Stegostoma tigrinum: one gene and its partners. The protein of the gene in region 3 interacts with the protein of the main gene of each other region in a pairwise test. Links are inferred from orthologs where the notes say so. Each region holds a gene or a part of one and is shown on either strand. Other genes may lie near its edges.

Region 1 (7,567 bases), on a different chromosome or scaffold from region 3:
TCAGTTTGGTGATACGCTCCTCCCAAGTCTTAGTGCACGCCCCAGCTCCACCGAACCAAACACCCAGCACCTTCAGGTAGTCTGTCCTGACGGTGAAGGGGATGAAGGAGCGGTCGTCCCAGTTCCCGAAGAACATGGCCTCGCTCTTACCCCTATTGACTTTGGCACCCGAGGCCAGTTCAAACTGGCCGCAGATGTCCAACAGCCTACTCACCGACCGACGATCGGTGCAGAAGACGGCGACATCGTCCATGTACAGGGAGGTCTTGACCTGAAGGCCTCCGCTGCCTGGGATAGTCACGCCCTTCAGGCTCACGTCCTTCCTGATGGATGGGGCGAAGGGCTCCACACAGCACACGAACAAGGCAGGAGAGAGCGGGCAGCCCTGCCTGAATCCAGATCTGATGGGAAAACTGTCCAATTCCTACCCAATGATCGAGACTGCGCTAACGATGTTTGTGTAGAGCAGCCGGATCCAATTGCGGATGCCCTCCCCGAACCCCAATTTGGAGAGGACATCCCTCATGTAAGCATGAGAGACCCTGTCGAAGGCCTTCTCCTGGTCCAGGCTGACAAGCCAGGTGTCCACCCGCCTGTCCTGCACGTAGGCGATCGTATCCCTGATGAGCGCGAGGCTCTCAGCGATCTTCCTGCCCGGCACAGCACAGGTTTGGTCGGGGTGATTCACCGACTCCAGGACAGACCTGACCCGGTTGGCTATGACCTTGGCCAGGATTTTGTAGTCCACGTTCAATAGTGAAATGGGACGCCAATTCTTAATTTCTTCCCTCTCCCCCTTCCTCTTGTAAATGAGGGTGATGATGCCCTTCCTCGTGGACTTGCACATTTCCCCTGCCCGAAGCGCACTATCGTACACCTCCAGCAGGTTCTGGCCGACCAGGTCCCACAGAGTGGAATACAGCTCGACCAGTAAGCCGTCGCTCCCGGGAGTCTTATTCCTCTCCAAGGACTTGAGGGCTCTGGTAGCTCATCCAGGGATATCGGCCGGTCCAGCCACTCCCTCGTGCCGTTGTCTAAGACCTCCGAAATAGACGGCAGGAACGGCTTGGAGGCCGTGCTGTCTGTGGGCTTCGTGTCGTACAGTCCGGCATAGAAGGATCTGCAGATCCTCAAAATGTCGGGCCGAGACGACGTCACCGAGCCATCATCCTCCTTCAGCCGGCTAAGCACAGAGCTCTCTTTGTGCACCTTCTGAAAGAAGAAACGCGAGCACATCTTGTCCTGCTCCACGGAGTGGACCCTGGACCGGAAGATTATCCTGGAGGCCTCCGCGGCGAAGAGCGAGGCTTGCTGGCCCCTCACCTCGCGGAGGTCCTCCGTGACATCGAGCCCCATCATCTGCAGAAGGAGCAGGTTCTGCACCCTTTTCTGGAGTCGCGACAGCTTTCTCCACCTCTCTCTCGCCTTCCGAACACCCTTGAGGACAAAGAACCTCTTGATGTTCTCCTTCACCGTCTCCCGTCGCCCGGAGACTCAAAGAGGGGTTTCACAGTTCTCCAACCAACGTACTCCTTCTCAAGCTCCTCGATGTTCTCTGGGGTCAACAGAGTCGTGTTGAGCTTCCACGTCCCCTTGCCGGCCGGCTGGTCGTCCTGTAAGTGACAGTCGGCCAACAGGAGGCAGTGGTCAGAGAAGAACACCGGCTCGACGCCAGTGGACCTGACCGAGAAGGCCCGTGACACAAACAGGAAGTCTATCCTTGAGCGGTCACTGTATATAAATTATGTGCCTGCGCACTTCACTCCATTCACCTGACTAAGGAGCAGCGCTTTGAAATCCTGTGATTTCAAATAAACGTTGGACTATCGAGATATAGGAACTGCCGATGCTGGAGAATCTGAGATAACACAGTGTAGAGCTGGATGAACACTGCAGGCCAAGCAGCATCAGAGGAGCAGGAAAGTTTGACGTTTCGGATTGAGACCCTTCTTCAAAAAAATGTTTCCGTCTCGACCCGAAACGTCAAACTTTCCTGCTCCTCTGATGCTGCTTGGCCTGCTGTGTTCATCCAGCTTCACTCCGTGTTCTCTTATGTTGGACTATAGCCTGGCTTTGTGTGACTTCTGACTTTGTCAGTCCCAGTCCAACACCGGCACCTCAACATCCTAGCTTTTACTTTAATGAGACACCACCCTTATTATAAAAGCAAAATACTACAGATGCTGGAAAACTGAAATAAAAATAGAAAATGCTGAAGAAACTCAGCAGGTCTGACAGCATCTCTCCATGGAAAAACGGAGTTAACGTTGAATGTCTTCGAATGTTGTCAAAACAAAATACTCCTATCAATTCACAGACTGGCAGCCAATATTCTACCTCTCACACGAGAGAATGAGACTATTTAAAATACGCTGACAGATGCTAATATGCACAGCCATCTGTGCCGAAATAACCACAAGACCCGGCGATGAGTGTTTGACAACAAAAACCTCCCAGTCACAGAAGAGATCCTAGAACAGAATGCTTGGGGGAGACACAAACGAAGTGAATGAGTCATTTCTCTCATTTCCACAACCGAAGACATTCTGTTAAATGACCGAAGACACTCTGATCCCCGAAGCTTAGTTACAGCCAGCGGCAGCCTTTACCTGTATGGGGCAAGTGTTTTTGTCCCACTGCTACTGTAGCCTTTCCAGAAATCTTCCGGGAAGAGCCGCCAGCTCCGGTTCCAGGGGCCGGCACAACTCCTCAGCCCGAACGCGAAGCCCATTATTACAAATACAGTGTAGAAAACGGCGATAACTCCGAGGGCTCCCTCTTAACACACTTCTAACTGAACTTTTACACTTCCGCAACCCACACTAAAACCAGATTAGAAGTTCCTTCCCGTCCAATGTCAGCGCAACAGTTGCTCAAAATGAAAGATGGACGGTTCTGCCGACCATTCAGTGTGTGGTATCCGCTGTCAAAGTCTGTTCCAGAGGTCCCAGAAAGAATTCGCCAATGCAGCAGAAAGAAAGCCCAGCGTTTAAACACATCATTGGGGGCAAACGAGACACTGCAACTTTGCTGAACACTGAGGGCAGCTTGTTCTTTGACCCTATGGTCAGGGGTAGGGTTCAATCTCTTTAGAGGAGGTGTGCGGGAGTAAACAGGCAAACTCGGGTAATCAGACCGGAATGCAGCGCCAGGCCAGAAGTGACTCTGCCCACTACAGCCGTTTATAGTATCAGAAATTCCCCACTGAAATCACACCACAGCACCCGACATCTGCAATCATACAGCATTAAAGAAAGAAACTGAACTGTTCAGCCCATCGTGTTTCTGCCAGCTGTTGTGAAATATCTCACTTCCTCAACATCAGGCGACGTTGTTTGGGTTGAACCCACGCTGCAGGCGTTACTCTGCATCACAAACCAACGTCAACCCAACTGACCCTAGTCTGTGCGGGGATTTTACTCTGCATCACAAACGAACCCTCCAGTCAACAGCCTGCTGAGTTTCATCAGCGATTTTTGTTTCTTTTTGTCTTTGAAATAACTGTCCAGTTAGTCTCATTGTGGAATACCAGAGTTTCAAAAAGCAAAACACTTTGAAAAGACTGGGGATGTGGTGGATGGTGTATACAATGGGGTGTGATTTAAGGATAGAATTTCCCTGCAAATCTGTATTTGACATAATGTGAAAAGGTGAAGATCCAGGCATTTGATCTATTTTGTTTTCAGAAATTACCAGGGCTCGAACATTTAATACAAACACGGGATTGTCCAAGCATGAAGGATCACTGGATGAGAAACGTTAACTCAGCAGGTTTTCGAGCATCTGTTCAGAGAAAGCAGAGTTTCTCCTGCACTTTCTGTTTTTGTTTCAGATTTCCAGCATCTGGATGTTTTTGTTATTTTGTTTCCAAGGAGGCAACCATGCAGCATCTGGATGCTTTTGTTGTTTTGTTTCCAAGGAGATAACCATGCAGGCAGGGCGCACATAAAGACAATAAGAGGGATAAATCAGATTCAAAATTACCTTCCTAATTTTAAAAGCTGTTCCCAACCATAAATCTGAATTTCTAATCTGTGTTGATGCTGTCACTTAATAACCATATCTATCCAGATAATTTAGCTGGAATCAATGAACTAACAGTAATTCAACTGTTAATACATTTTCCCCATCAAACACAGTGCAAGTGAGTTGCAGAATAAATTGCTGAGAACACTGTCCCTGTGAATGCTCTGAGGGGAGATGCAGCTAGGCATAGATTCAGAGTAAAACTCCTTTCTATACTGTCCCCACCAATACTCCCAGGGCAGGTACAGCATGCGTTGCGTACAAAATAATGCTTCCTGTACAATTTTACAACCCCATTGAGGCCTGTAACTTTTTTAAAGGATTGAATTTTCCAAACAAATAATAGAAATATAACAAAGGACAAGATCTCACCTTTTAAGACTTTTACTGTAACAAAATATAATCTACATAGATCAAGCCCTAACCTATACATAACTAATGCACCAAACTAAAGAAAACTGTATGTTTTGTATTTACCAACTAAGACAACCAGAATATATATTATCAAACACTTTTGTTCAACATCATGCTTCTGATAGATATGCATCATTAAAAGAACTATCCCAAAGTCACCTCCAGCTCTTCAAAGGAGCCATACTAGGCTGAGTTTGTAGTGTTCTTCAACAATCATTCCATTCTGCCTGGGATCTCACAGATTATAATTATCACCAACAGGTACACTTCATTGGATATGTCTCTCCAGCAGATCATCACAGACCAGAAGGTCTAGAGATTCCCAGATTTGACCCTTTAAAGTTGTTTAGCCAGCTCCGACAAAACTGTTATCACATTGTTATTTGTTCCTATTCCTCAATATTTCTGACAGAACAGCAGCAACGACCTTTCTGGCTCCATACTTTTTCTTTCCAATTCATAGTAGCTGTTCTAGTGAAAGGTGTTAAAACAGCCATTCCACGTCAATGGGCTTTTCTCCTGATGGTGACTGGATCACAATGGCATTTCTCTGAGCCAAAGTGCTTGGAGAAGACATTTTAAAACACATAATTGTCTTGTAATGTTCAGTTTTTATACCACTGTCCCCACCAAATGCTCCCGGTGAAGGTACAGTATAAATTCAACGTACAGTAAAACTTCTTCCACACTTCCACATTAAATAATGAAGCAGGTACAATACTGTTTTGATACAGAACAAAGCACCTTGCAAAGCAGAGTTATCTAAGCTCCTTCCGGGAAGATGGTGACAGAGTAACACTCTCCATGCAGACCCTCTCTACTCCGCCTGTTCTTTTTCTTTTGTTACTATTTTCTTCTCTCCTTTTAACGCTCCTGGAGCAGTGATTGGGGCAGTAGTCCCCAGAACAGCACAAGGGAAAGTGTGTCTCAAAACATCATGAGAGGAAGCTTGGCCTGGAACAACTCGAGGGAAAATGAGTCCTGGAGATCTGCGAGAAGAAAAGCCAGTCCAGGAGCAGCGCAACTTACCTTGGTGTAGCTGAGTGTCTGGTGGAGCAGCTGGAGACTTGGAGTGGAGTGGGACTGTTGTTGGTCAGGGGCCTGGCGTGGGCGATCAGACCACGTGCTTGTTGAGCTGCTGCAATGTAACATTGATCTGAAATTCTTTACCGGACTGTAATGTCAATCCTTTAACTTTGTTGTAACTATTCTACTTCTAACTTTTTTTTAGACACTGTAAGTAATGCTATTACTTTTCCTTTTATTCCTGTTTTGTATCCAACATTTATACCTAGCTACTTCTACCTAAGATGGTGCCATTGTTAAAACTTTTCACTGTACTCATGTACTCCTCTGCTGGAGTACATGTGACAACAGTGAATACTCTATCCCTTGCACTAGGGGTGTGGCACATTTCAACTTCTCTTTCTCTTTAATGGGGACTGTGATTGGAAGTGCAGTGAGCAAATATAAACATAAGGTTTGGCACAATAAGGGGTATGAATTTTTTAAAATTCCAAAGAAATAAATTAATCATTTAAGTAAATTAGTAACTCATAAAATTGCCATTAAAATGTGTCAGCGGCAAATACAAGTTTTTTTTAACCACCTTGGTTAAGAAACAGAGCTAAAGCTGGACTAGGTTGCAAGTCCTGATCACCCAAAGCTGTGGGTAGGCATTGAGGCCAAGTTGACTCGGATTTAACTAACACTGATCTTGCTTTCATGTCTGGCAACACACACTCTGAGCTGGCCTTGGTACAATTCATATAGAAGTGGGGGTTGAGTGGGGGAGAAGTGTTAGAAGCATCTTGTCTTTCGGCCAGGGTATTCCTGCACACCCATGCTGCTTTGCAGATTGGTTTTGAGGAATGAAGAGGAGGAGAAAAGTGAATTTGTGTTTGGCTTCCTCAGTCTCAAGGTTCATAGAAACTCTCCCACTCCCCACATACACGCAGAAACACACACATTCACCCCTCCACTCTGTTTCTCCCACACAAAAACACACATGCCTGCATTCAATCCTCATGCACACAAACGTGCACCCTTGGTCCTAAACCGACACTGTCCCATATCCGTACACTCCCATTCCCCATACAAGCTTTTTCTAATTCCAATACATACTCACTTAACCACTCTGACATTAACTCGCCTACTCACGCTCCTTCATTCCCATATAAATGCTGCCAAGTGATCAACAGGCCTGCTCCACCACCTTGACTGCAGCCTTTCAGGGCATCAATGCTTCAATGAAAGGGAGAGTGCTGTCATCTCACAACCTGTTTGCTATCCTGGACCCTCCTTCCGTAAACCACTTAGCATCTCAGAGTCTTCTCCCCCATCTCCCTCACCATCTTAAATCTTTCTACCCCATCTCCTTCACTATCTCAGAACCTTCTCCTCCATTTCCATCACCATCTCAGAGTCTTATCCCCTGAACCAGTTATCACATCACAGCCTGTTCTTCTCACCCACCTACCGGGTATGCTGTCCTTTACAGTCTCCCCCACACAGCAGCAGGCTTACCATTGTTCCCAGTGTCCTCCTCAAGCTCATTGAAGATAAGGATATTTGCTGCTCTTCCAAAAAGAAGTTATTTATACATAGAATCCCTACAGTGTGGAAACAGGCCATTTGGCCCATTGAATCCTCCAAAGAGCATCCCACCCAAGCCTACACCGCCCCCCCCCCCCCCACCGCCATTCCTGTCACTCTGCATTTCTCATGGCTGATCCACCTAGCCTGTACATCTTTGGACTGTAGAAGGAGCCCATGCAAGACATGGGGAGAATGTGCAAACTCCCCACAGTCACCTGAAAGTGGCACAAACTGTGGTCCCTGGTGCTGAGGGGCTGCTGTGTTAACCACTAAGTCACCATGACATCCCAAAGTAAGGAGGTCCTTGGTCTCTAGATGGTTTCAAACCACCAACCTTCTGGTTACAGCCAAATGCACTAACCTACTGCAACACACAGACAGGTGCCATTTCTTTTCTGTGTTGCTGCCCATTGGCTCAGTAGTGAACCGATCTATGGCAAGGGTGGGAACAAAACAGCTTCAGAATGATGAGCATCTCCATGGTGGATCTCTAACATGTATTTAACTGTATTTACAACAAGGCTTGATG
Region 2 (7,799 bases), on a different chromosome or scaffold from region 3:
CCACTGCACCACACAACCAGCCCAGCTCTTCCCCTCCACCCACTGCATCCCAAAACCAGTCCAGCCTGTATCTGATAATAAAATGTGAGGCTGGATGAACACAGCAGGCCCAGCAGCATCTCAGGAGCACCAAAGCTGACGTTTTGGGCCTAGACCCTTCATCAGAGAGGGCGATGGGGTGAGGGTTCTGGAATAAATAGGGAGAGAGAGGGAGGTGGACCGAAGATGGAGAGAAAAGAAGATAGGTGGAGAGGGTATAGGTGGGGAGGTAGGGAGGGGATAGGTCAGTCTAGGGAAGACGGACAGGTCAAGGAGGTGGGATGAGGTGGTAGGTAGGAAATGGAGGTGATGCTTGAGGTGGGAGGAAGGGATGGGTGAAAGGAAGAGCAGGTTAGGGAGGCAGAGACAGGCTGGACTGGTTTTGGGATTCAGTGGGTGGAGGGGAAGAGCTGGGCTGGTTGTGTGGTGCAGTGGGGGGAGGGGACAAACTGGGCTGGTTTTGGGATGTGGTGGGGGAAGGGGAGATTTTGAAGCTGGTGAAGTCCACATTGATACCATTGGGCTGCAGGGTTCCCAAGCGGAATATGAGTTGCTGTTCCTGCAACCTTCGGGTGGCATCATTGTGGCACTGCAGGAGGCCCATGACGGACATGTCATCTAAAGAATGGGCGGGGGAGTGGAAATGGTTTGCGACTGGGAGGTGCAGTTGTTTATAGCGAACCGAGCGGTGACTCCCTTGTTCGCTCAACACTGCCCTCCAACCCCACCACACCCGGCACCTTCCCCTGCAACCACAGGAAATGCTACACTTGCCCCCACACCTCCTCCCTCACCCCTATCCCAGGCCCCAAGATGACTTTCCACATTAAGCAGAGGTTCACCTGCACATCTGCCAATGTGGTATACTGCATCCATTGTACCCGGTGTGGCTTCCTCTACATTGGGGAAACCAAGCGGAGGCTTGGGGACCGCTTTGCAGAACATCTCCACTTGGTTCGCAATAAACAACTGCACCTCCCAGTCGCAAACCATTTCCACTCCCCCTCCCATTCTTTAGATGACATGTCCATCATGGGCCTCCTGCAGTGCCACAATGATGCCACCCGAAGGTTGCAGGAACAGCAACTCATATTCCGCTTGGGAACCCTGCAACCCAATGGTATCAATGTGGACTTCACCAGCTTCAAAATCTCCCCTTCCCCCACCGCATCCCAAAATCAGCCCAGTTCGTCCCCTCCCCCCACCTGCACCACACAACCAGCCCAATTCTTCCCCTCCACCCACTGCATCCCAAAACCAGTCCAACCTGTCTCTGCCTCCCTAACCTGTTCTTCCTCTCACCCATCCCTTCCTCCCACCCCAAGCCGCACCTCCATCTCCTACCTACTAACCTCATCCCACCTCCTTGACCTGTCCGTCTTCCCTGGACTGACCTATCCCCTCCCTACCTCCCCACCTATACTCTCCTCTCCACTTATCTTCTTTTCTCTCCATCTTCGGTCCACCTCCCCCTCTCTCGCTATTTATTCCAGAACCCTCACCCCAACCCCCTCTCTGATGAAGGGTCTAGGCCCGAAACGTCAGCTTTTGTGCTCCTGAGATGCTGCTGGGCCTGCTGTGTTCATCCAGCCTCACATTTTATTATCTTGGATTCTCCAGCATCTGCAGTTCCCATTATCACCAGCCTGTCTCTGCCTCCCTAACCTGTTCTTCCTCTCACCCATCCCTTCCTCCCACCTCAAGCCGCACCTGCATTTCCTACCTACAACCTCATCCCACCTCCTTGACCTGTCTGTCTTCCCTGGACTGACCTATCCCCTCCCTACCTCCCCACCTATACTCTCCTCTCCACCTATCTTCTTTTCTCTCCATCTTCGGTCCGCCTCCCCCTCTCTCCCTATTTATTCCAGAACCCTCACCCCATCCCCCTCTCTGATGAAGGGTCTAGGCCCAAAACATCAGTTTTTGTGCTCCTGAGATGCCACTTGGCCTGCTGTGTTCATCCAGCCTCACACTTTATTATCTTAACTTCAAATGATCTGATTCAAACACAACTTCCGTGTATGTTTTCCCTGTTTGCATCATACATTTGGGAAATGAATGCATTAAGAAATTCGCACGTACAGTACCTCTTTAAGAGGCAGCTGATCAAGTTCTCCCACAGCTGCTTTTTGAAAAGTAAAGCCACGCCTCAAATGGTTTGCATTCCAGTTTCAATGTCAGTTCCAACCAAATGTTTGTGCAGACTCTGAGAACTCTTGTGGTTTATAAAATGATCAGAATTTCTGCAATTAGGGCCGGAGAAGAAATACCAGGCCTGGTCTGGTGACTTCCACATCCCAAGGTATAAGTATTGATCCATAATTAGTTATTCTTGCTGACATAACCCTATTATTACTGGTAATGCTTTTGGGGTATCAAATGACTCATGACCACCAAAAAATGGTTTGTAAATCTCATGAGTCTGAAGCCATTAACATTGAAGTTTAGAGGTAATAAAAGTGTAGGTTTGGGATTTGAGATTTAAAAACAAAAGAAAAATTGTTCCATAGTTAACATATAAAGAGGACACACAAAACGCTCCCATATCTGTCATAAATGTAAAAAAATTTGAGCCTTTTCTGGATGATGGGTTTATAGTTTTGGATGAAACATGAGAATGTACGACTTACGTCATGCTTCAAGATATTATCATGAAGGTTAATCAGAAAGCAAAAAGTCAATTAACGCTCACCAATGTTCGACATAACACAAGCCTGAGAAATAATTTCTTTTTGGCACCATGTATAGAGCATTATTGAAAAGTCAGCAGACACTGCTTAAATGGAGCAAAGCAGCAATACTACTCAAGTAGCATCAGGTTACCACACTGACTGCCCTCGTCATATCCAACTCCCAGCTGAAACTGCCTAAGGTGTGTTTCCAGGCCAACAAGTTTCAAATCCTACCTGAAAGTAACCATTAAGGTCCGTTCACTGACGCCTTGCTTTCAGCCCACAGGGAATCGTACATGGAACAAAGAAACCACGGAAAATCTGTTCTCCCTTCACTGTTTTGGGATTTTTATTTTTCCTTCAGTCAGAGAAGACTTCTTGACAATAGCCTTCTCCTTTGAGCACAACTTCCTGAAACTTTAGGTGTGGTTTGATTCATTAAGGGTTCTACTTACTCACAAAACAATGAGAATGTTTGCAAAGGAGGCCAGCTCACAAAACCACAGCCTTCTGATTTCAAACAGGTAGAATTACAGCAAGCCTGATTGGTTTACAGATTTTATACTAAAATTGAAATACCTTTGATGAAAATTGATGAGCTTTTCCAGACTCTAGTAAACTTACAATTTTTAAAAATCATTTTGCCGCTGTAGAATACTTGTGATACCATTATGCTGAAGCTCCAGGGCAATCATCCTTTGTAATTCATCTAACAGCACAACGGGTCCATGGCAGATGCCATCTCCTTGGCCCTAAACTCACCCCTGGCACATCTGGATAACAAACATACCTAAGTCAGGCTCCTACTTCTGGCACACAGCTCCACCTTCAACACTGTTATTCCAAATAAACTCATCTCTAAACTCCAAGACCTAGGTCTTGGCTCCCCACTCTGTAACTGGATCCTTGACTTGCTGACTCATAGACTGAAATCGGTAAGAATAGGCAACAACACCACAATGGAGGACCATGATAATCCTTAACACCAGTGTCCTGCAAGATTGCGTACTCAGCCTCCTACTATACACCTGATACACTCACGACTGTGTGACCACATTCTGCCCCAACTCCTTTTACAAGTTCGCTGACAACACCACCATTGTAGGTTGGATCTCAAACAACGATGAGACAAAGTACAGGAAGGAGAGTAAGTGCTTGGTGGCAGTGGTGTAAAGACACCAATCTCTCGAAGAACATCAGCAAAACAAAGGAGCTGGTCATTGACTTCAGGAAGTGAGTTGGGGGGGCACTCCCCTGCCTGCATCAATGATGCTGAGATGGAGATATTCAAGAGTGTCAATTTCCTGGAAGTGATGATCAGCAACAACCTGCTCTGGTCTACCCACGTCAACATGATGATCAAGAAAGCACAACACCATCACTCCTTCCTCAGGAGGCGAATAAATTTCAGCATGTCCACAATGACTCTTACTAATTTTTATAGCTACTTCACAGAAAACATCCTACATGGATGCATCACAGCATGGTTTGGCATTTGCTCTTCCCAAGACCGTAAGAAATTACACAGAATCATGAACATAGCCCAGGCCATCATACAAACAAGCTTCTATCCACTGACTCGATTTATACTTCTCACTGCCTCGGGAAAACAACAAAATAATCAAATACTCGCTTCCACCTGTTGGCAGCAGATCTGAAAGTTTCCGTATACGAACAGATTCAAGAACAGTTTCTTCTCCGCTGTTGTCAGACTTTTGAATGGACCTCTCAAATGTTAATTCTCTCCCTACACCTTCTCTGTGGCTAGAACACTGTATTTTGCGCTCTGTTCTGCTAGCCTGATGCACTTTGTATGGTATGATCTGCCTGTATAGCATGCACAACAACACTTTTCACTCTACCTCAGTACATGTGACAATAAATCAAATCAAATCATAATATATATTTTAAAAAGTCACTTCCTTGAACATTTTTGATTCTTAATTTTACCAAATACCAGTCTCTGTGGCTGAAGGGTTACTGATTGTTCCTGAACTACACAGATCTCGTGTGTTCTTCCTGTCCCCACCCCCAGTTTAAGAATTCTTCCATTTCTTCAGTTTCCTCACCGAAAGGTCCTTATGTGGAATTTCCTGCTTTTGTTGTGGAAGCCATCAAAACAGGCCAAATGCCCTCCATCCCCATTACTGCACTGCAGATGGGAAAGCCTACTGGATCACACGCCTATCACTTAGTTGACTTTCCTTTGGGATCCCTTCCTGGTGATATCCTGCCCACATGTGAAACTGCCGACTAATCAGAGGTCACGTCAGTCGGACAAACTACTGTGGCACTGCCATGTGGAAGTTCAGAACAGCTGATACTAGGGGGCACATTTTATGATGGTGCTGGCACCTGTGTGGAGTTTGCATGTCCTCCCTGTGTCTGCATGGGTTTCTTCTAGGCGCTCTAGTTTCCTCTCCTTGTCCAAAGATGTGCAGGTTAGTTGGATTGGCCATGCTAAATTTTCTACGGTGTCCAGGGGTGTGCAGAGTAGGTGGGTTAGCCATGGGAAATGTACGGTATGGGGACAGGGTGAGATGCTCTTTGGCGGAGGATGTAGACTTGATGGACCAAATGGCCTCTTTTTGTCCTGTAGGGATTCTATGATTCTTGTCCTCTGGAAACAAGTGATAATCAGGGTGGTAACAATGTACAGGCCCATAAACTAGTCACTAATTTACCACTTAACAGTATCAATTGATTGCCTAGAACTTAATTCCTGTGGTACCCAGAAAGCAGTGTGAATCAGCCAACCTGCCCAATTGTCTTTCTGTGGCGTGATAATGGGAACTGCAGATGCTGGAGAATCCAAGATAACAAAGTGTGGAGCTGGATGAACACTGCAGGCCAAGCAGCTTTTGTGCTCCTGAGATGCTGCTTGGCCTGCTGTGTTCATTCAGCTCCACACTTTGTTACCCTGTCTTTCTGTGGAGGACAGCTCTCCAAATTGTTGCAGAAACTCTGTAATTAGGGCTTTGTAGGGTGGGCAGGGCAGGTGTTCTGTTTTTCCAAAACTAACATTGAAAGCAGGTAGTTCATCCACTTTCATTCTTTGACTTGTTTTTGGTTTGGTATGACTGAGTTTTTTTGCTCAGGCATTTCAGAGGACATTTGGAGTCAAGCCCATTACTGTGGCTCTGAAATCACAGGTAAGGGTGGCAGATTTCATTCGCTGAAGGACATTAATGAACAGATGGATTTCTTACACCAACTACTGATAATGTCATGGTTACATCTTTGAAACCAGTTTTCAATTCCAGCACTTCTTTAATTAAAACAAAATGCATGAATTGAATTTAAATTCAATTTCTCACGAGGGTGAGATGTAAACTCACACTACCAGGGCTTTAGTCTTGGCCTCCGGATTATTAATCTAGTGACAATGATCTTATCGAACATTGAATGATGCACTGCAGAAATTCACCAAAGATCCTTCAACAGCTCCTTCCAAACCCACAACCACATCCATCTAGAAAGACAAAGGCAGCAGATATATGGGAACACCAGCACCTTCAAGTTCCTATCCAAGCCACTCACCATCGTGACTGGGAAATACATCGTTGTTCCTTCACCGTCACTGGGTCAAAATGCTGGAATTCCACCATCCCCCACCCCAACCAATGGCATTGTGGGTCAACCTACAGCAGGAGGACTGCAGTGGTTCAAGAAGGCAGTTCACCACCACCTTCTCAAGGGCAACTAGGGATGGGCAAGAAATGCTGGCTCAGCCAGCGACGTCCACACCTCACAAATGAATAGAAAAAAAGCCTCAGCATCATAGTGCAGTTGGTCTCAAAGCTGCACTAAGTTGAAAACCCAAAAGGCTAAAATGGTACATGCTTCGTTGCCTCACTGTAGGATGGAATCTCATTCTAAATCACAGTGACAACTTCACAGCAGAGCTGACAGTGCTCACAACAAACAGTGACTGGGACGTGAGTGTGTTTTCTTACCACTTCCATACCATTATCTGCAATATCTTCAGGCTGAGCTTGATCAGTTTGGAACAGGGCCTATTTTATCTCCACTGCCAGTTAATGAAATCAAATGTCAGACTGACAATCTAAACAAAATTATTCAGTAACTTATAAAAACACCCAGTGAGACACCAATGCAGTATCCAGTGGATGTAGTGAGAGTGGGAGTAAATTACATAAGTAGTAATTTAATTAAGGACTTCAGTGATGTTGAACAATGAAAACAAAGCTTAATAATTTATTAAATGAGAAAATAATACAAGAGGTAATTTCAAGCTGCCCACCAGTTTTTATTGGATAACACCAATAGAGATGTCAAGCAAAATGTATCCATGTATTCAATTCATTTAAATACACGAGTGGAAACCATTCTTCCACAATTTTTCTGCCCTTTCAATCACTTGATTTCCCCATATTCAGGGGCTCACCAATGCCTGTCATTATCCATAAACTAGCCATTTTACTTTGCTTTATTATAGAGTTGGTATTGCAAGTACATTTTGCTCACTTACTGACAGGGCGGTGTGACCAATTACTATCCATGGGGTTACTCTCGGTCATCAGCAGACTGACAGACAGCTTCCACCAAGCAGGAATCACAAGCTCCAGTGCTGTGCCTGACCCAGAGCGTCCAGGTTCAGCCCTGAGCACAAAGGACCCATCCCTGAGAGTACTGAGCCCTGGTTATTGGGCCAAGGAATATCCAATACTTAGTTTGGATTCCATCAGGATCCCTGGCTCCTTTCCTCATTACAGCTGTTGTCATGGAGAACAACATTGAATTACAGTAATAAAGTGAGTTGCTATCAAGAAGCCGCAGTAAAATTGACATCAACGGGAATCAGATGGAAATATCTCCACTGGCCGGAATCACTCCTTGCAAAGAGAAAGATGGTTGTGGTTGTCTGAGGAATCATCTCAGTCCTAGGGCATGGCCCCAGGAGTTCCTCAGGAAAATGCCTGCAATCCAACCATATTCAACTACTTCATCAATGACGGCATCCATTGTGAAATCACAAGGAAAATGTTCATTAATGATTGCATTGTTCCATACATGGCTCTTCAGAAACTGAAGCTGTCCATCCCACATGCAGCAAAACATGGA
Region 3 (7,546 bases):
CTACAGTCCAACCCCACCACCCAAGACATTTTTCCATCCCCACCCTTGTCTGCCTTCCGGAGAGACCACTCACTCTGTGACTCCGTTGTCCGCTCCACGCTCCCCTCCAACCCCACCACACCCGACACCTTCCCCTGCAACCGCGGGAAGTGTTACACTTGCCCCCACACCTCCTCCCTCACCCCTATCCGGGCCTTAAGATGATTTTCCATATTAAGCAGATGTTCACCTGCACATCTGCCAATGTGGTACACTGTATCCACTGTACACGGTGTGGCTTCCTCTACATTGGCAAAACCAAGCGGAGGCTTGGGGAACACTTTGCAGAACACCTACGCTCGGTTTGCAATAAACAACTGCACCCTCCAGTCGCAAACCATTTTAACTCCCCCTCCCATTCCTCAGACGACATGTCCATCATGGGCCTCCTGCACTGCCACAATAATGCCACCCGAAGGTTGCAGGAACAGCAACTCATATTCCACTTAGCAACCCTGCAGCCCAATGGTATCAATGTGATCTCCCCTTCCCCCACTGCATCCCAAAACCAGCCCATCTCGTCCCCTCCCCCCACTGCATCCCAAAACCAGCCCAGCTTGTCCCCGCCTCCCTAACCTGTTCTTCCTCACCTATCCCCTCCTCCCACCTCAAGCCGCACCTCCATTTCCTACCTACTAACATCATCCCGCCTCCTTGACCTGTCCGTCCTCCCTGGACTGACCTATCCACTCCCTACCTCCCCACCTATACTCTCCTCTCCACCTATCTTCTTTTCTCTCTCCATCTTCGGTCCGCCTCCCCCCCTCTCCCTATTTATTCCAGAACCCTCTCCCCATCCCCCTCTCTGATGAAGGGTCTAGGCCCGAAACGTCAGCTTTTGTGCTCCTGAGATGCTGCTTGGCCTGCTGTGTTCATCCGGCTTCACACTTTGTTATCAGCACATTATGACGTGAATGGCTGTAAATTGGGAGAAGGGAGTGTGCAGTGGGACTTGGATGTCATTGTGCACCAGTCACTGATATTAAGCACGCAAGTGCAGCAGGCGGTCAAGAAGGCAAATAGTGTGTGCGCCTTCATTGCGAAAGGTTTTGAGTCCAGGAGCAGGGATGTGTTGCTGCCATTATACAGGGCCTTGGTGAGGCCATACATAGCATATTGTGTGCAGTTTTGGTCTCCTTTTCTGCAGAAGGATGCTCTTGCTCTCGCTCTCAAAAGGAGTGCAATGAAGGCTTACTAGGCTGATTCTGGGGATGATGAAACTCACATATGAGGAGAGATTGACTAGGTTAGAATTGTCTTTGCTGGAGTTCAGACAAATGAGGAGGGGATCTCAAAGACTTAGAAAATTCTAATAGGACTAGATAGGATAGATGCAGGGAGCATGTTCCCAATGGTGAGTGTGTCCAAAAGCAGGGATCACAGTCTGAGAATCAAAATGGACCATTTAGGTCAGAGATGAGGAGACATTTATTTTCCCAAAAGAGTAGTGAACTTATGGAATTTATTAGCACAGAAATTTGTTGATGTCAAAACAGTAAATGTATTCAAGTGGTGGCTAGATATAGCACTTGGGGGTGAATGATCGATTATGAGGAAGAAAGCAGGAATAGGCTATTGAGTTGGATAATCAACCATGATCATGAAGAATGGTGGAGCAGGCTTGAAGGACCGAATACCCTCGTCTTGTTTCTATGTTTCTTCCATGTCTACAACTTCCACCCACACCTTCCAAACACTGTCTAAATAACTAGTGTTGTGAAACATTCTCTTTCACTACCACCGCCACATACTGTCAATCATCCAATTACCGAAGCAGGACTCAGTTTTCCATAAATTGATTAGATTCGATTCCTAGATTAGATTCCCTACAGTGTGGAAACAGGCCCTTCGGCCCAACAAGTCCACACCGCCCCTTGAAGCATCCCACCCAGATCCATCCCCCTACAACCTACACAACCCTGAACACTATGGGCAATTTAGCATGGCCAATCCACCTAACCTGCACATCTTTGGACTGTGGGAGGAAACCGGAGCACCCGGAGGAAACCCACACAGACACGGGGAGAATGTGCAAACTCCACACAGGCAGTCGCCCGAGACTGGAATTGAACCCGGGTCCCTGGTGCTGTGAGGCTGCAGTGCTTACCACTGAGCCACCGTGCCACCCTATCTGCATTTCATTGTTCAATACAAACTCCAGACAGCACTGCCCCTTCCTAACCAGCTCCCCTTAAATATTTGCTCCAATGACTATTAGCTGTTGTCTAACCTCTGGAACATATATCCTGGACAATAATTTACAATATGGTCACTTTCTGTCAATTACTGAATATTGTTCTTCTGAGGTTTGTGTTCTAGAATCTTTGCTGCCCCTTCAAAGCCTTCCTTAAACTCCATCTCTTTGGCCAATTCTTTAGTCAACCTTTATATAATTTCCTTTGTCTCAATGGCAATTTACTTTCAATTAATCCTCAAGCAGGATGCAATACTTTTTCTACAACAAAAAAGGGCTAAGAAAAAAAATCAATGAGCGTTTGATATTACCACATATTTTCACCATGTGGACAGGAATACAAATCCAGTTAACAGATGCTTGTTAATTAATGCATCACTCACCAAGTTGTCAGGAGCCAGTGCACAACGATGATCATCTGTAGAAACACGAACCCAGGTCAATCCGAAAGAACAAACAAACACTACAATTCTATAGACAGACTGAACTAGAGTCTGTCGTTCTCCCACAACATCATTCCTAGAGAATCACAGAACACCCGAGATTATAGCCTGAAACTGACTCAGAATTTCTGTCATTTGACAAAACCACTCCCTATAGCCCGTCGACTAGATATCAGTCTGCAGCTCACTAGTGAAGGGGGAAAGCAGGCAGTAGGAGCTAGGGGAAGGTAAGGCAAGGGAACAACGGGAGAGGGAGAAAAGGGGATGAAGGGACAAAAGTTATGCTCAGCTCCGCACAACACCAATAATTTAAACTTCGGGCTGTTCCTAAAGCCAGACTGTTTCTTTAAGATCCCGATCGATAACCCTGTTCTTAGCGGGCAGCCGGAGTTCGATTTCTTGACCCTCACATTTCCATTCCACAAACTTTACCTTCAGGCTAACCACCGGCAGTTCCATCGCTGAAACTTCATGAAGTAACAAACTTCGAGGCGACCCATGTGACCCTGCATCATGTGACCCGGGCTGGATGAGGAAACCCTCAGGGTGCTGATGTTTGTTGGGTTCCTCCCGCCTCAAACCCCACAATTGAAGAAGGTGGCAAAACCGATCAATGACACTGACTCATTGCTCTCTGAGAATCAGCTGCTTAACGTCATAAGAGAGTCTTAAAATTAATCGTGGACATAGTTCACAGTCAGTGGGCCTCTGATGCGCTAACATTATATTTCTGCCGAGTCACTTGAATCGTCATTATCCCCAGAACGAAAAAAACCCGTTAATTTTACATTAGCTAAAATAACTTTAAATCGACATACATCGATGCTGCCAAATGAAACTTTTGTTTCAGAATTGGTTATTTAGGGTATGGGAGCGTTGTTGACAGGGGAGGCTTTTGAACAAAATGAATATGTTAACGCTGACAGGAGTGCGGGAGTTGTGACATTTCGCATTTTGCTGTGGTTTCTGGCACTTGTCCACACGGAGTTGGTCTCTATCGGGTGTCGGACCTGCTGCAGCAGATCACACCCCCAGACCAACGACCAACACTGTGGACATTCATTAAAATCGTAATAATCAAATATTTATGGTGGGCTTGCACATCCCTCAAATGCCAAACTAATACACCACTGCCACTTGCTTACGTCAAATCAGTTAGGGATAGATTTTCTAATACACTGTACCTTTTAAAATATGTAAAGTATCAGGTGCGAGACAAAAAATACTGACAGTAAAAAACAAAGCCAAAACTATCTTGACTTTGGTGCATCAGCTGTGTCTCAGTGGTAGAGATAATGGGAACTGCAGGTGCTGGAGAATCCGAGATAACAAGGTGTAGAGCTGGATGAAGGCCAAAGAGCATGAGAGGAGCAGAAAAGTTGACGTTTCGGACCGAGACGTTTCTTCAGAAGGCGGGGGGTTCTGAAATAAATAGGGAGAGAGAGGAGGCGGATCGAAGATGGATAGAGAAGATCGGTGGAAAAGACACACAAGTCAAAGAGGCGGGGATGGAGCCAGTAAGAGAGAATGCAGGAGGTAGGGAGGAGATAGGTAAAGGGGGCGGGGTAACTCTCAAGACCAGCTTGTACTACCTATTTCCCTTGGTGTGATGGCACTAGACCTTATTCTTAAACCATTACAATTCATGTTGTGAAGGTTCTCCCAACGTGCTGGGAGTTCTACATTTTGATCCAATAATAAAGAACACATCTCAATCTAACTGTTGGATACAAACAAATGAACATTTGACAGAAGCGATTCTGAAGTTCATTTTCTCTACAATTAAAATTACAATGAGACTGAAATAATCAGGTGTGCACCAAGATGTGAGATGAACTTAGTCAGTATGTTCCATTTCAAAGTTTTTAATTGGTTGTCAGATTTTGTTTGTTTCATGTAGGCTAATATTAAAATTAAATAGAAAACAAAAGTGCAAAATCTGATACATAATCATTCTTTCGTCATGCATTCCATTGCTATAAATTCACATGCAGGACAACACGAAGTGTAACTATAACAGACAATGCAACTATAACAATATGACATACAGTCTGCAAAGACTTTACATTTCTTTTTGAGATACAGCATTGCTGGCAAGATCTGCATTTATAGCCCATCACTAAATGCCCTTTCGATGGTGATGGTAATTTGCCTTCCTGAATCATTACTATCTGTGTATGAAAATATTTACACAATGTTGTTAGGTACAGACTTCCAAGATTTTGACCCAACAATGATGAAAAACAGCAATATGTGTTCAAGCCAGATGGTTGTCACAGTGACTAACTATAATAATGTGACAATATATCTATAAAAAAAGTTAAATATTCTCTCAGTTTTACAGTTATTCAAAGTAGAGATTCTCACATCACAACCCTGACCCTTACTGCAATATCTAAATTGGACTGTCCTAATACAAAAACACAAGAACTGCACCTATGCCCATCTATACCTGAGTCATAGAAAGGCTGTGTTTTAACATTGTACAAGAAGTAAAATATTACAGACACTGTTGTGCATCTGAAATACCTTTACTCAAAACAACGAATCTCTGTTCTTATCACAGATGAAGACGGACCAGCTCAGTGTTTTCAGTACTTTCTATTCCTTGTTCCATCTTCACCTCTTACAACACAAGTTATAACAAGGGTTGAAAACTACTTGGAGAACATTGTTGGAAAAGGTAATTAATTATAAGTTATATTAAGTTGAAATGACAGTAGTCCTTTGAAAACAAGGGTCATCTATTCGGTGGATGTTATGATAAAGCTTCGACATATCTGTATAACATCAACCAGCTTTTCTGATTCTTATTATTATCTGGGACACTCCTGGATATATGCCCAGTTATCAGGTGAGAAAAGTACAGAGTCTTTGTTGCCCTTCACATTCAAACAGTCCACAAATAATTTACGAATATTCAATGTTTAGACTCATACTTGGTAACAGTCACTTGGGCAAGGTACAGGCTGGTACCAGCACCTAGAGATGTAGCTCAGTAAACATCAAATGAAAAATTTCAGATTGATTAACTATAAACAATTCAATTATTATACAGTAATTGATCACGGCTTTAGGCTGTGCAGGAGCCTAAATTGTGTTTTAAAGAGTCTGGTTTTATTGTGAGTTTAAATTATATTTATTTTTAAAAGTTGGTGAAATATTGCAGGTTTGTAGTAATATCAATAAGTTTAAAGCTGAAAACATGTTGGGACATCTGATTTCAAGAGAATGATCATTCATGAATGATCAATGGTGACAACGTTTTAACAGAAGGGTGATACCTGATGGGAGGTTGTCTCAAGTAAAGCTGTTGGGAGAGAACTGTAGGGAGATTCCTAGAAAATAAAAAGATATAAGGAGGAATTCAAAGATAACAAGAAACTCTTGTATACAAGGTATTATTGCTAAATATTGTGTTAGTTACCATTTTGCTAAATAACATTCAAAACTGTTTATGAAAGTACGGTATTACAAATACAATTTTCGTGTGGGTACGAGCAGCAGGATCATTTCAAATAAGAAATGAGTTGAATGGGACAATATAAACCATTGGGGATTCCATTATCATAGTTGAGTAGTGGATTCTGGGTATTGTTGGGATTTGTTGGATTATAGTTTTGGAATGTAGGGCGTAAATAGGGATATTTTCAACAGACATGACTGGGTGATTGCAAGAATCTTATTCCAGACTGCCCCAGATGTGGCATCGCCTATCAGGGCAGTCACAGGCATTCTTGGAGCCATCAAGATTTTCACTGTTGTTATTGGATGAGGATTGACTCGTTGTGTGGGTCAAAACAGCTGGATTCCTTATGATGTCTGCTCAGACCGTAATAAATGATCCATGATTGATGTCAACAGATTCTGGTTCCACACATCGTCCTCGCCTGCGGGTCACTCTCCGATTCCGATGGAACTTGGCATAACAGCGAAGACCTGATAAAGACAGAAGAGTGGGTTCAGTCTTGAGCACTCATCTGACAGGGCCTGGCTCAATTGCCAACTTCACTTCTAACACGGTCAGGAATCAGATGATACCAGGTTATAGTCCAATAGGTTTACTTGAAATCATAAGCTTTCAGAGTATAGCCCCTTCATCAGCGAAATAAGAAAGAAGTACACAGTCACAGAATTTATAGGCAGTGAGATGTAAAGATCATACAACTGGTGTGAAGTGGAGTGTTGAATAATAAGTCTCCATGGGTGATCCGAAGTGTCAGATCGTATAAGTAAAGTGTTGGCAGCTGAATAACAAGTGAAGGGATGGTTTATAATCTGATTAAATGAGGCAGAGGGATAATTACAAAAAATTAAAAATAAGATGATGTCATGTTATTCCAGTCATTTGGTTTGTCTCCAGCACCACCTTACTTTTAATGTTTTTGTAATTATTTCTGAGCCTCATTTAATCAGATTATAGGTAATCCCTTGGTTTGTTATTCAGTTGTTGATGCTGTACTCACATCTGATACTTTTGCTCACCTGCAGAGACTTATTATTTGACACTCCACTCTCACCATTTGTATGATCTTTTGATTTCTCTGCCCTTGATCTCTCTGCCTACAAATTCTGTCTCTGTGTGCTTCCCTCTCACTTCACCTGACAAAAAAGGTTATACTCTGAAAGCTTGTGATTTCAAATAAACCTGCTAGACTAAAACTTCATATTGTCTGATTTCTGACCTTGTCCACCCCAGTGCAACACCAGCACCTGCACATTATCACTTCTAACAAGACTGAGCTTCTTTTTCCATCTACCATTCTGATATTAATAATTCACACTTTCAGTGTGTAATGCAGAGTCAAAACACAACCTAACAGTGGACGTAGCTTTAATGTTTACTTCAATGAAACGTTAACTCTGCTTT
Region 4 (7,425 bases), on a different chromosome or scaffold from region 3:
ACAGCACACATGGATGAAATATTCTGGGCACCCGATAGTGGTAGCATCTCAAGGGGTTGAATGGTTTAACTCAGTTTGTATTTATATGTAGCTGCTCCCTAGAAATGAATTAATACTATCCCAGCTAAGGACGCCAGCAGAGTGCAAATCATCAATGTCTCTGCAACCTAGAACAGCAGAAGATCAGACCAGGGACTTAGCCAATCAATAGGATTTATTACAATGCAGGAAAGTTACATCAGTCATAAGAGAACAGTGCTTCCACAGCCTGTACAAATTCACGTCAGGGCATTTCTATTGAAGCTTGAAGCTTCTGTTGTCTTGCAGGGACAAGAATATTCCATTGAGGGAGAAAACAAAAATCAAGCAGATCACATGGATTAATTCTAATCATCATTTAAATATCACAGACATACTACAGCAATTGCACAGGACTAAGTTCAGAGAGATAAGAACATGGGACTTCAGATGAGATGTACATCATTCACCACCACCCCCCACGAGATCTTTAAATTTCAATCAAAAATAAAACCAGTCTCCTCTATCTTCTGGTGAAGAGAATGCTGCATTCCAACAACCCTCAGAAAAGATTTCATCTTCATTTCTGTATTAAAAGGGAGTCAGGCACAAACAATTTGTAACGCACAAAGAACAAAGAGCAGAGGACTAGCATTACAGCTCATCATACAGCGATTAGAGTAAGCAGCCACTCTCTGAACATCCTATTATCAGACCACACACTGGTCTACCAAAAAATGATGATGCCACAGATTGGGGCAGCATGGTGGCTCAGTGGTTAGCACTGCTACCTCACAGACCAGGAACCCGGGTTTGATTCCAGCCTCAGGTGACTGTGTGGAGTTTGCACATGCTCCCTTGTGTCCGAGTGAGCTTCCTCTAGGTACTCCTGTTTCCCCCCACAGTCCAAAGATAAGCAGGTTAGGTGGACTGGCCTTGCTATATTATCTATAGTGACCAGAAATGTGTGGGCTTGGTGGATTAGTCATGGGAAAATGGAGGGTTATGGGGCAAAGGTAAGGCCTAGGTTGGATGATCTTCAGAAAGGCGGTGTGGATTCAATGAGCTGAATAGCATCTTTCCACACTGTAGGGATCTGATGATTCTATCAAGGATTCAGCTTGTTTTTTGCTAAACTCAATAAAGGGAGTTTGTTCAATGGGCCACCTTGCTCCTACTGAGTTTTTCAACCTATTGGGAAGAAAGCAATTTGTCATGGTTTGGCAAATAATTGGACCTGCCTGTGTGCCCAAAGTGTCACAGACGCCCAGAAACAAACCACTTCATTTATTCACTTGTAGGACGTGGGCACTTGCCAGTCCTTGAGTTGCTGTTGATGAGCCACATTCCTGAACTACTACAATCCATATGCTATAGGTACAATGCTGTTGGGATAGGGGGAAAGACAGTGAAGTCAGGATACTGAGTGGCTTGAAGGGGTATTTGAAGGTGGTCTTGCTCCCATTTATCTTCCGCCCTTGTGATAGTGGTTGTGGGTTTGGAAGATGCTGTCTAAAGATCTTTAGCAAATTTCTGCAGGGCATCTTGTAGACAGTACACATTGCTGCTACAAACATTGGTGATAGAGTGATTGAATGTTTGTTAATAATGATGCAATCAAGCAGCGTTTTGCCCTGGATGGTGTCATGCTTCACTCATCCAGGCAAGCAGGGAATATTCCATCATATTCTTGGCTTGTGCTATGTAGATAATGGACAGGCTTCAGGGAGTCATGTGGTGAGTTACTCTGACCTGCTCTTGTAGGGACTGCGTTTATGTGGAGAGTCCTGTTCAGTTTCTATTCAATGATAACCCCCAGGATGTTGATAGTTGGAGACGCAGTGCTGGTAATGGCATTGAATGTCAAGTTAGACTTTCTCTTATTGGAAATGGTTACTGCCTGACAGTTGTGTGGTACAAATGTTTCCTTGCCACTTTTTGGCCCCAATCCTGGATGTTGTCCTGGTCTTACTGCAGTGGGCAGCTTCGGTATCTGAGATCTCTCAAATAGCACTGAAAATTGCTTTCTGGTAGCTGCACATTTCCACGTCAGACCTTATTTTATAGCTTGCTTTATTCAAAGTGACTGCAAGCCAGTCTGATTGGCTACAGGAATTCCAATCACATTACATCTTCAGCAGATATTCACAGAGGGTCACTGCATTACAATGAAGGAGCAAGAAGCAATTTGACTCACCCCACATGCATCCTGGATTCAACATTTTTCTCCCACTCCAAGACCATCCCAGCTGACAGTTACAAATCCAATAGGCTGGAAATCAATATTTAACACTCCTACACTGATTATTGCCACAGTAGTCCATCTACAGGTAATTGTTAACTTTCTCTACAAACCAACAAAGGCCTTATCTGTCCCTCTCCTTGAGTTTCTCTCCACGCACACACTACACCAGGTTTATGTATGTTCTCTACCCTCAAGGCATTCAAAAGTCAATCATTTTCCTGTGGAACTGGAGAAACGTGCAGGTCAAAGCAGGCAAGGTTAACAATTCATTTACCCTCTCTGAAGGACATGGATTGGGTTTTTATGACAGTCCGTGATTGTTACATAATCTACGATAGCCACCGTTACAAAGGCCACCTTTCAATGCCAGACCTTGTAAACTGAATTTGAATTCCAATTGCTGCCAATGACAGGATTTTAACCAGAGTCCCCAGAACATTAACCTGGACCTCTAGGTCACTAGACAATTACATTACCACAATACCACCTTCTCCCATTTACTTCTCTCTCCCGCCCCCACCATAAGACTTTTATTACTTTTCTCGCTCTCTTCCCTCTCCGAATTTTTATTCTTTTTCCGTTTTCTCTCTCACCTCTCCAGCTTCCACACGAGGCCAAAGTACCTTCCGGTTTAACTTACGTCACGTCCTGGAAACTGTTTCCCAAGTTTCTTCACGATATTGGAATCGGCGCAACTGCGCAGATGTATCAGTGATAATGGGAACTGCAGATGCTGGAGAATCCAAGTAGTTCCTTTGTTTAGGGATGGACCGGGCTGACAGTTTGCTCCTTTCGATTTGTAAATGGGGGGAAGGTGGGCAGAGGTCGACTGAGATACAAAGGAGATTGGGGAGGAGAGAGGTGACCATCATCTTTGTAAAGGATCTCGTGGGCGGTGTTAAGTATCACGTGGTGTGTCATCCAACCCCGCCCACTGCCCTCTGCTGCTTTGACCCTTGTGGCTGATGCTTTGATTTTGCAGTGTCTTCGAGTGGCTTATTAGACAGTTACAAATTATATTGATGTGCCCAACAACTACAAGCTGCTAAAACAAAATCATAGGGTGGAAATGACTTGTCATTTTACACATTAGATACAAATGCCCAGAGCTAACTAATAACATCTTCATTTAGTCTAAAAATAGAAGAAACTCAACAGGTCCGTCACCATCTGGAGAGAGAAATAGAGTTAACATTTTGAGTACAATATTTCCCAGTACTATTTGTGATGTTCAGTACCTGAAGTACTTTATTTAAACACATTTGCTGATTTTAAAGTGACTCACATAGAGTCATACAGCACAGAAACGGACCCTTTAGCCCAACATGCCCATGTCGACCAGGTTTCCTAAACTGATCTAGTCCCATTTGGCTCATATTCCTCTAAATCTTTCCATCCATGCATCTGTCCAAGTGCTTGTACTCACCTCTGCCACTTTTCTGACAGCTCATTCCATGCACACACACCACCTGTATGAATAAGTTGTCCCTCGGGGATCCTTTTAAATTCTTCCCCTCTCACCTTGAATCTATGCCCTCTAGTTTTGGACTTCGCTGAGAGAAATACCTTGGTTATTCACCTTATTTATGCCCTTCATGATTTTATAAAACTCCATAACCTCACCCCTCAGCTTCCTACACTCCAGAGGAAAAAAGTCCCAGCCTATTCAGGCTGTCATAACTCAAACCCTCCAGTCATGGTAAGATCCTAGTAAATCCTTTTTGCACCCTTTCCAGTTTAATCACAGCCTTCCTATAGCAGGGTGGCCAGAATTGTACGCTTTACTCCAAATGTGGCCCTACCAATATCTTGTACAGTTGTAACATAACATCCCAACTCCTGTACTCAATGTGCCAAATGTCTTCTTCATCACCCTGTCTACCTGTGACACCACTTTCAAGAAATTATGTATCTGCACCCCTAGGTCTCCCTATTTGACAACACTCCCCTGGGCCCTACCAATAAACGTAAAGTCATGCCCTGTTTTGTCTTACCAAAATGCGACATTTATCTCAATTAAACTCCACTGCCATCTCTTGGTCTACTGGCCCAGTCTATCAAGATCCCGTTGTACTCTTAGATAACCTTCTTCACTAAGGTTTTAGAGTAGATTTGTGGCTGAGGTTGTGGATGTTGTGGTTTGTTCGCTTGCCAAGCTGGCTCGTTATTCCACAGACGTTTCATTACCCTGCAGGGTAACTGTTTCAATACCACCAGTTCAATTGGGACAACACCGGGATCCTGGGACAGGCGAAGCAGAGACAAGCACGGGAATTCCTAGAAGCCTGGTTCTCCACTAAGAAAGCCATTAATAAACATTTAGAGCTAGACACTGTATACACACCATTGCGAAGGAAAACCGGAAGTGAGGTAACCCAGATCAACGGATACCAGAGTTTAAATGACAGGTGGGAAACCACAACAGCACTTCATCAGAGGCTGCACTGATTATGTTACCCAAGAGGGCAATGAAATATCTGCGGAACAACAAACTAGCTCGTTGAGCCAACGAATCACAACAACCTTCTTCACCGTCCACTATACCACCAATTTTTGCTGGTGATATGCCAGCAAAGTTTGTAACCATGCCTACTATATTCTCATCCAAATCATTTACATAAATGATGAACAACATTCATCACCTAGCAGTAATCCTTGCATCACACTGTGATCACAGACCTCCAGTCTGAACAACAATCCTGTACCACAACCAACTGCCTCCTATCGTCAACCCAATTTTGATTCCAATTGGCTAGCTTTCCCTGGATCACATGTGATTTACCCTCACAAACCAGCCCACCATGCTGAACCTTGTTGAAGACTTGCTAAAAACCGTGTAGACTTCCTTCCATTGACTCAGTCTACATTTCCCTCTGTCTCGGGAAAGCAGCCAACATCATCAAAGACCTCTCCCACTCCAGTCATACTCTCTTCCACCCTCTTCCATTGGGCAGAAGATAGATAAGTTTGCAAGCATGTGTCACTGAATTTAAGAACAGCTTATTCCTCGCGCTTATCATACTTATGAATGGATTTCTCTGATATTAGAATTAATCTTTCTCAGCATCTTCTCTGTAGCTGTAACACTATATTCTGCATTCTGTTCTGTTATACTGATTGTACCCCTGGATGTATGATTTGTCTGGTTAGCACGTAAAACAAATTTTCCACTGTATCTCAGTACATGTGACAATAATGAATCAAATCAAATCAAATCTGCCTTCATCTTTCTTATCGGTCACCTCTTCAAAAAATTCAATCAAATTTATGAGTCACGACTTCCCACACATAAAGCCATGATGACTATCCCTAATCAGTCCTTGCCTTTCCAAATGCATGTAGGCCCCATCTCTCAGAATCCCCTCAACAACTTACCTATCGCTGACATCAGGCTCACAGGCCTGAGTTACCTGACTTTTCCTTCCAGCCTTTCTTTAATAAAGGCACAACATTTGCCATCCTCCAGTCTTCCAGCACCTCCCCTATGAGCATCGATGATACAAATATCTCGGCTGAGGGCATTGGAATTTCCTCCCAAGCTTCCAACAATTTCCTGGGATACATTTGATCAGGTTCCAGGGATTTATCTACCTTTATGCATTTTAAGGTCTCCAGCATTTCTTCTTCTGTAATGTGGACTTCCCAAAACCAGCCCAGCTTGTCCCCTCCCCCCATTGCATCCCAAAACCAGCCCAGCTCGTCCCCGCCTCCCTAACCTGATCTTCCTCTCACCTATCCCCTCCTCCCAGCTCTAGCCGCATCTCCATCTCCTACCTACTAACCTCATCCTGCCTCCTTGACCTATCCATCCTCCCCAGACTGACCTATCCCCTCCCTACCTCCCCACCTATACTCTCCTCTCCACCTATCTTCTCCTCTATCCATCTTTGGTCCGCCTCCCCCTCTCTCCCTATTTATTTCAGAACCCTCTCCCCATCCCCCTCCCTGATGAAGGGTCTAGGCCTGAAACGTCAGCTTTAGTGCTCCTGAGATACTGCTTGGCCTGCTGTGTTCATCCAGCCCCACACTTTGTTATCTTTTCAAGACATCACTGTTTATTTCCCTGAGTCCTTAGCTTCCATGTCTTTCTACCTAGACTGTATTGAGGACACCCCTTGCTAATGTTGTTTGTGTCTCACCACAAATGCATAGGGAGTTTGTACTAAAGACAATCATAGAATCTCTACAGTTTGGAAGCAGGCCATTCAGTCTATCGAGTCCATACTGAAATTTCAAAGAGCATACCACCCAGATCCACACCCCCCGACTCTATCCCTGTAACTCTGTATTTCCTTTGACTAGTCCACCTAGCCTGCACATTCCTGGATAGGCAATTTAGTACGGCCAATCCAGCTGACCTGCACGTCTTTGGACTGTCAGAGGAAACTGGAGCACCTAGAGGAAACCCATGCAAATACAAGGAGAATGTGCAAATTCCACACAGAAAGTTACCAAAAGGTGGAATTGAACCCAGGTTCTGGGCAGCGGTACTAACCATGGTTCAGTTTCACATTGCATTCCCTGTCAGTACGCAAGGTGCCCTTGAGAATCAAATGATCCCCCAGTAGGAGAATTCCAAGAGAAAATTAAATGACTCTGAAACAGCCCCTAGCAGAATCCCAGTCACCCAGAACCACAAATTGTTAGGTCAATCAAATCTGTTTGCTGATTCTCCCCTCTTCTGTTCCATATCATGAAACAGATATTCCCCAATCTATGCCTATATATTTATACAATGACATGTCTTCAGGTACGGTGGTGTCGGCAAAGTAGGTAGTGTTCAGTCTCCTGATCCCGTACGCTCCAGGCCATTTGCATCCTTCTCTCCCTCCATCCTTTTTGGACTTTTTCTTTCCCGTTTTTTCTTTTCATCTTCTAACAACGTGGGGAAGCTGGAACAGTGTGGGTGGGGCATTGGCTGCAGGGGCGGCAGTGCTTGGAGCAAGGAATCCTGGCTGTGGGTGGCTTGGAGTGTGGACTCATGGATTAGGCCGGTCATTGGCTGCGGGGTGGCAGTGCCCGGAGTGAAGACTTATGGCTGCAGTAGGACCAGAGCGTGGACTCAGCAGGTCTTTGGTTGCAGCAGTTGCGGTGCCTAAAGCAAGGACACCAGACAGTGGAAGACCTGCATCAGAGATAATGGGAACTGCAAATGCTGGAGA

Evidence for each region.
Region 1: the proteins of agtrap (region 3) and acsf2 interact in binary tests that used the Homo sapiens proteins (3 or more experiments, as listed by UniProt). The two-hybrid records come from large-scale screens. The link is inferred for Stegostoma tigrinum from reciprocal best matches to the Homo sapiens genes AGTRAP and ACSF2.
Region 2: the proteins of agtrap (region 3) and synaptotagmin-16-like interact in binary tests that used the Homo sapiens proteins (3 or more experiments, as listed by UniProt). The link is inferred for Stegostoma tigrinum from reciprocal best matches to the Homo sapiens genes AGTRAP and SYT16.
Region 4: the proteins of agtrap (region 3) and txn2 interact in binary tests that used the Homo sapiens proteins (3 or more experiments, as listed by UniProt). The two-hybrid records come from large-scale screens. The link is inferred for Stegostoma tigrinum from reciprocal best matches to the Homo sapiens genes AGTRAP and TXN2.

The regions. Positions count from the first base shown.
Region 1 is NC_081375.1:36,164,110-36,171,676, forward strand, and holds the start of acsf2 (medium-chain acyl-CoA ligase ACSF2, mitochondrial), read right to left. Parts: upstream 3,323-7,567; 5' UTR 2,732-3,322; coding exon 2,610-2,731; intron 1-2,609. UniProt on the Homo sapiens protein: Acyl-CoA synthases catalyze the initial reaction in fatty acid metabolism, by forming a thioester with CoA. Has some preference toward medium-chain substrates. Plays a role in adipocyte differentiation.
Region 2 is NC_081363.1:29,171,168-29,178,966, forward strand, and holds the start of synaptotagmin-16-like, read right to left. Parts: upstream 3,176-7,799; 5' UTR 2,949-3,175; intron 1-2,948. UniProt on the Homo sapiens protein: May be involved in the trafficking and exocytosis of secretory vesicles in non-neuronal tissues. Is Ca(2+)-independent.
Region 3 is NC_081381.1:28,425,853-28,433,398, forward strand, and holds the start of agtrap (type-1 angiotensin II receptor-associated protein), read right to left. Parts: upstream 3,207-7,546; 5' UTR 3,136-3,206; coding exon 3,109-3,135; intron 2,753-3,108; exon of another isoform or gene 2,652-2,752; coding exon 2,617-2,651; intron 1-2,616. Other genes in the region: draxina (draxin), read right to left, coding at 6,503-6,615. UniProt on the Homo sapiens protein: Appears to be a negative regulator of type-1 angiotensin II receptor-mediated signaling by regulating receptor internalization as well as mechanism of receptor desensitization such as phosphorylation.
Region 4 is NC_081391.1:3,483,007-3,490,431, forward strand, and holds the start of txn2 (thioredoxin, mitochondrial), read right to left. Parts: upstream 3,114-7,425; 5' UTR 2,904-3,113; exon of another isoform or gene 2,857-2,903; intron 2,500-2,856; exon of another isoform or gene 2,216-2,499; intron 1,843-2,215; exon of another isoform or gene 1,771-1,842; intron 1-1,770.